2 linked regions of the Oryctolagus cuniculus genome follow. The protein of the gene in region 2 purifies or fractionates together with the protein of the main gene of each other region. This does not show direct contact. Links are inferred from orthologs where the notes say so. Each region holds a gene or a part of one and is shown on either strand. Other genes may lie near its edges.

Region 1 (3,655 bases), on a different chromosome or scaffold from region 2:
AATGCAAATCCCTAAGCACTTCCTTTAATATGCCATTACCAACTTTATTACATGTGTTGTTTCTTTGGATTTAACTAGGTATTGAGCCTCTGTGTGTACAAAGTACAGTAATAGAGAATAGGAAAAAATGTTCAGTCTACTCCATCTCTACCCTAAAGAATAGTATGGATCAGGAGAGAAAGCACACAAGTAAATTGACAAATTTTGCAAATGTCTGATGTGGAGAATATTAGTTACCTTGCCAGGTTGTAATTACCCCCAAAATTCAGCAGCTTAAAAAACTTTATTAATTCTCATTAGTTTTTGTTGGCCAGTAGTCAGAACTGCTTAGCAGGATGGTTTTGAACTCAGGTTTTCACATGAGGTTATGGTCAAAATGAGGTCTGTGATCATCCAAAGCCTAGACTATGGTTACAGGATCTGGTTTCATGCTGACTCTTGGCTTGGTATAAGTTCGGAGTTCTTCGCTGGCTGTTGGCAGAGGCCTCAGTTCCTCACCACATGGGCCTCTAAATGGCATTGTTCACAGTATGGTTGCTGGCTTCTCCCAGAACAAATATTTGAAGAGAAAGAAGAAAAAAAAATAGATAGAAGCAACAATATCTTTTATAAGCTGTTCTTAAGACAAACCATCACATCCCCGTGTTCCATTAGTTGGCTTAACCAACCCTGGTACAATCTAGTGGTATGAATATTCAAGGAGATGTCACTGTCTTAGAAATGGATTACCGTAGAGATGAGCTTTGTTTGCTCTTAGGAGGAACGATATTCTGGGATTATAGCAAGTACATAGAGCAACTCTGTTGAGATTTGAAGTGGTGATTGCCCAAATGAAAAGGTGGCAAATACATTGAAGCACAGATGTATTCAGAGGCTCTGTACTGAGAGTCTTTTTGATTTTTTGTTTTTTTAAGATTTATTTATTTATTTGAAAGGCAGAGTTACAGAGAGAGAGGAGGAGAGGCAGGGAGAGAGGTCATTCATCTGCTGGTTCAGTCCCCAGTTGGCTGCAACAGCTGCAGCTGTGTTGATCCAGAGCCAGGAGCTTCCTTCGGGTCCCCCACGTGGTTGCAGGGGCCCAAGGACTTAGGCCATCTTCTGCATAGCAGAAAGCTGGATTGGAAGCGGAGCAGTCAGGACTCGAACCGGCACCCATACGGGATGCTGTCACTGCAGGCCACGGCTTTACCCACTGCGCCACAGCGCAGACCCCTGCTCTTTGATAATAACTTCAGAATTAATAATATGTTGAGGCTGGAGAGGGCATCAGAGGTCCAAATTATGTATTTAATTTGTCAGGTAAAGGCTTTGGACGTTTCCTAAAAGCAAAGCAGAGGTGTTATCTCACTGGTTGTTTGTTTATTTGTATCTACTTGAAAGGCAGAGCAACAGAGAAAGAAATTTTCCATGTGCTGGTTCATTCTCCAAATGCCTGCAATAGCTAGGACTGGGCCAGGCCAAAGCTAGAAGCCCTGGACTCCATTGTTGTCTCCCATGTGAGTGGCAGGGGCCCAAGTACTTGAACCATCAATTGCTACCTTCCAGGATGCATTAATAGGAGACTGCATCAGAAGCAGAGTATTCAGGACACAACTTTTCCAGAATATGGGAGGTAGATATCCCAAACAATGACTTACCCACTGTTCCACAACACCTGCCCATCTTCTTTTTACATTTTAGAAAGGTGAGCAGCTGCCTAGAATGAATGGGAGCAGAATTGGAAGAAGAGAGGCACAAGATGGATTCAATAATGTATATTAGAGAAGAAGATGGTTGCTTTAATGAAATGTTAATTAAAATGATTAAGAAGAGAGATGTTTTATAAATATAAAATCATTATAACTTAGATATTGCTAAAGAGAAAAACCCTGATAACACCCATGTTTCTGACTTGGTGAATCAGCAGTTAAATAATTGTACCATTCAGTGAGGAAGAGAACACTGGGTAAGGGGTGAGTATAGAGTAGACAAACCCACTTCACAGTTGAACAGGGACCTGGACCCAGGAGAGGAATGTGGGCTATAAATAATTACCCTGAGTGATAATGAAAACTGAGTATGAAAATTGTCTAATCAGAATAAGGGATGGTCAGAGATTAAGAAATTTGTGAAGCCAGTCAAGAAATAGCAGCTAAAGTGTTAGAAAAAATAATGTGATGTCATTTATCTGTCTATATGTTTTTGTGAAAATGTCTCTTCTTTTGGACCATTCGCTCTCTAAGAGAGGAAGTATGTCTTTAAACAAAATCTAGCACATAGTAGGGACTTGACTTTGACTATTGAGTGACTAAGTTAAAGGGCACTTGGCAGAATGAACTAGACTCTGAATAAGATACCATTTGTCAAAACAGCAGTGGGAAATGATCAAAGGTGTTTACACAAGGAAACAGTATGAGATTAATGTTTCTGTAAGTTGATTGTGCTAACCATGTAGAAAATGGAGTACTTAAGGAAGGCTAGGGACAGAAACACCAGCTTAGTTATTGCAGTAGGCCAGATTGAATTCATGCAGTAGCATGAGGTTGGACCTTAAGAGACAGAATGGATGGAGATGCGATACAAGGTCAAAAAAAAAAGTAAGAGCTCTCTGGGGACTTTTATTTAGGAACTGAGTGAATAATTATCTTATTGCCAAACAAACTGGGGAAGGTAAAAAAAAGGAGCAAGTTCCGTGGGGGGAATAACTCAGTTTTAATATGAATATACTGTGTTTGAAATATTGATATGATACCCAGGTATATCTATAAGGAATCGAACATGGTAAAGAATTGTTTATTCTACCTCTGGGGATGAGGAAATGTTTAAAAGAGGCATTGACATTTTTACTAGTCCTAAAAAACAGAGTGCAAAGACATAAAGTACAGACACTGAAACTACCCCAAGATCACTTAGTTCATATCTTTGAAATGTTTCTGTGAGTATAAAATGCAGAATGTGGTTTTAATTTTTCTTTTGATTTCAAAGGAAAGAAGATTCTATATGATATACTTGCGTTTGCCAAAGAAAGTGTTAATTCTCATGTTACTACACTTGGACCTCAGAATTTTCCTGCCAATGACAAAGAACCATGGCTTGTTGATTTTTTTGCCCCTGTAAGTTTTTTTTTTTTAATCAGTATTGTCAGATTTTCTGTTGCCATGTCAAAAAGACATTTTCTTGATAAGTGTCTTTAGTATTAGAAAGGTGTCAATGGGTTTTGACCACTATTGCATATTGCTTCTAAGTGAGAGTAAGTAGTAATTACCTTTCTCCAAGGATTAATAATATACCCATAGAGTTGTCGTGATGTATCATTTGTCTTTGTTTGTTTGTTTGAAAAATTACGGGTTTTTGTTTCATTTGGCTCAGTGCTTATAAATACTTTTCTTTTCTAGTGGTGTCCACCATGTCGAGCTTTACTGCCAGAGTTAAGAAAAGCATCAACTCTTCTTTATGGTCAGCTCAAGTTTGGTACACTAGATTGTACAATTCATGAGGGACTCTGTAACATGGTAAGACAAAGTATAAAAACTTTAATTAGATTTGTTTTGTGAAATAGAGGCCTATTAGCCATTTGATGTTGAAAAGGTAATGTTTGTTCAGATGTATCTCTTCCATTTAGAGTAATTCCAACAAAATATCATGATTTGATTAAATCATGACTGGTGTGAGAATG
Region 2 (2,983 bases):
CAAAGCACAAAGAGGGAAGAGATCATCAGAAATGCCAGTCTCCTAAGAACGACTGAGGCTCTCAAAAGCTTTCCATGACTAAATGGAGAAAAGGGTTGGGAGCAAACAAGATAGCTCACATGAAGAGGTCTCTATTTTCAGGTCAATGCACTTCAGTTCTGTACATACCTACAGCACTGCTTTATGAATCTTACTAAATCATAAAAATATCTCACCTGCAGTGGTGTCTTCGTTTGGCCAACCAGAACTCACAGTCACAGTTATAGCAGTGGGATGCCATATGATCTGGAACCCAGCGAGTCACCTAATAGAAGGCACAAGGAAAAATGCCAGGTCCATGTCAACAAGGTAGAAGCACAACACCGCAACAAGGAAAACATCTCAGGGGAAAAATGACAAGACTGATTTTGCAAACTGGCCTCTACTTGCCTATAAAGATGACACTCATCTAGGGGAGAGCTCAGTCTACAGCCTGTCACTCATCTCTGAGCTCACATAAGTACCCATCACATATTTGCCTGGAAGTACCTCGGTCTCTTTCTTATCAACAGGTTCCCAGCTTGCTTCTGAAAGGCAGTCTTCACTGTGATCAGAGCCAAAATCTTCGGTATCACTACCATCTGACTCCTTCAAACACGTCTAGAGAGAAGGCAGACGTCACCATCAACCTCATCACTGCTAATACCATTTACGACGTGTCAGATATTGTTCTAAGGGCATTACATGCATGAACTGATATAACACCTCACCATAGCCTCAGCATGTATATTACTATTGTCCCCATGTTATAAATAAAGAAACCCAGCTGCAGAGAAAGCTAAGAGCTATTAAGTAGTAAAGGTGGGCTTTGAAGTTAATATTCTGGCTTCAGCTCCATGTTCTTAATATGCTATACTACAAAAAAAAAAAAAAGCTATACTACAGTGTAGAAAGTCTCTCTTGTTGTTTTGTTTTTTTTTTCTTTTAAGATTTATTTATTATTTATTTGAAAGGCAGTGTTATGGAGCTGGGGCAGGGAGCAGAAGATCTTCCATCCACTGGTTTGTTCACTTCCCAAGTGGCCGCAACAGCCAGGGCTGGGCCAGGCTGAAGCCAGGAGCCAGGTGCTTCATCCAGGTCTCCCACGTGGATGCAGGGGCCCAAGCACTTAGGCCATCTTCCACTGCTTTCCCAGGTGCGTTAGCAGGGAGCTGGATTAGGAGTGGAGCAGCCAGGTCTCAAACCAGCACCCCTATAGGATGACAGTGTCACAAGCAGCAGCTTTACCCACTACATCACCTTGCTGGCCCCTTTTGTTAAGTTCTAAACCAGGAGCTGGCCAACTATGGCCCATAGGCCAAATCTAGCCCCTAACCTCAAGTTTTGCTGGAACATAGTAGCGTTCATTTACATATCATATATGGCTGCTTCTGCACTGTAACAGTAGCTGAGGCACTGTATGGCCTTTAAGACCTACACTATTCATTATCTGTACCTTTGCCAATGCATTGCCTGAAATATAAGAAGTTATTAGCCCTTTCCATTCCATCAGCAGAGAAGTGGACAACAGGCAAGTGAGAATGCCTTAACAGAAGACAAACTGGCATTCTTGCTATGTAAACAGCAGGATAGTATGGGGAGGAAATGGCTCCAAGAAGCTCCCCCAGGACTGCGATGCCAGAACTTGAGGCTACCCAACACAGCGCAGTCTAGATGCCCCTCATCATCTCTTACTTTGTTTATTCCAAAATGTCCTAACCAGCCTCCAACCTGGTTCTCAACTGCCTCATCCATTTTCTACACTGCTAGTTTTTGTTTTTGTTACTTTAAGATTTATTTATTTGAGAGGTAGAGTTACAGAATGAGAGGGAGAAAGGGAGACAGAAAGAGATCTTCCATCTGCTGGTTTACTTCCCATATGGTGGCAATGGCCAGATCTGGGACAATCCAAAGTCAGGAGCCAGGAACTTCTTTTGGGTCTCCCATGAGGTTATTTGGGCCATCTTCTGCTGCTTTCCCAGGCGCAATAGCAGGGAGCTGGATCGGAAGTGGAGCAGCTGTGACTTGAACCAGCACCCGTATGGAATACCAGAGACCTAGGCAGTGGCTTTACCTGCTATACCACAGTACCAGCCCCTATAGTCTCCTTAAAATACAAATTTGGGGCTGGTATTGTGGAACAAAGGGTTAAGCTACCCCTTGTGATGCCCACATCCCATATATGAGCACTAGTTCAAGTCCTGACTGCTTCTTCTTCTGCTAATGTGCCTGGGAAGCAGCAGGTAACAGTTCAACTACTTGAGTTCCTGCCACCCGTGTGGTTCCTGGCTTCTGGTTTCAGCCTGGCCCAACCCCAGCCATTGCAGCCATGTGGGAAGTAAACCAAAAGATGGAAGACCCCTCTCTCTGTTTCTAACTCTCTATGTGTGTCACTCTGCCCTTCAAATTAATTTATACATATAAATAAATCTGATGGTACTCACTGGTATAAAATTGTATTGCCTTGAGTATAAAATCTAAACAAGAGGGGCATTCAAGCTGACCTTTCCAAACCCCTTCAACTTCTCTGATGTCACCCCCTACCACACTACCCAACTCTCCTTCATAGTCCCAGCACAAGTGTCTATGCACGCCAATACACATTTACACCACCCTTTTTTTTCAGGGTACCTATTATCTTCATGCTTCCTTTTCACTGTCTACCTCACAAACTTTTTCAGCACTCAACTCCAGCATTATCTCCATGGAAAAACCCTTCCTTGACCTTTCATTCTATTCCAGTCCCCCAATACCTGATACCCCCTTCAATCCTACCACCTAGGAATATCCTTCCAATCATTTACTTATCTTGCATCCTATAGCCCAAGCACCTAACCCAGTGGCACATGGCAGGTTCCTAATGAATGAATGCTGAGTGGTTGCAACACTGGCTGACAGCATCAACGAAGGGAGGGAGGGAGGGCAGCTGGTGAATACTTACAAAGTCATCCTCATAATCCACTGG

What was found. The genes of interacting proteins can lie anywhere in the genome.
Region 1: the proteins of MTMR4 (region 2) and DNAJC10 purify together in Homo sapiens (affinity purification with mass spectrometry; 3 studies listed by BioGRID and IntAct, counting the BioPlex papers as one, with this or other methods). This does not show direct contact. The link is inferred for Oryctolagus cuniculus from reciprocal best matches to the Homo sapiens genes MTMR4 and DNAJC10.

Annotation. Positions count from the first base shown.
Region 1 is NC_091434.1:57,900,389-57,904,043, reverse strand, and holds part of DNAJC10 (dnaJ homolog subfamily C member 10), read left to right. Parts: intron 1-2,964; coding exon 2,965-3,092; intron 3,093-3,374; coding exon 3,375-3,491; intron 3,492-3,655. UniProt on the Homo sapiens protein: Endoplasmic reticulum disulfide reductase involved both in the correct folding of proteins and degradation of misfolded proteins.
Region 2 is NC_091448.1:33,878,604-33,881,586, forward strand, and holds part of MTMR4 (phosphatidylinositol-3,5-bisphosphate 3-phosphatase MTMR4), read right to left. Parts: coding exon 2,960-2,983; intron 640-2,959; coding exon 529-639; intron 305-528; coding exon 216-304; intron 1-215. UniProt on the Homo sapiens protein: Lipid phosphatase that specifically dephosphorylates the D-3 position of phosphatidylinositol 3-phosphate and phosphatidylinositol 3,5-bisphosphate, generating phosphatidylinositol and phosphatidylinositol 5-phosphate.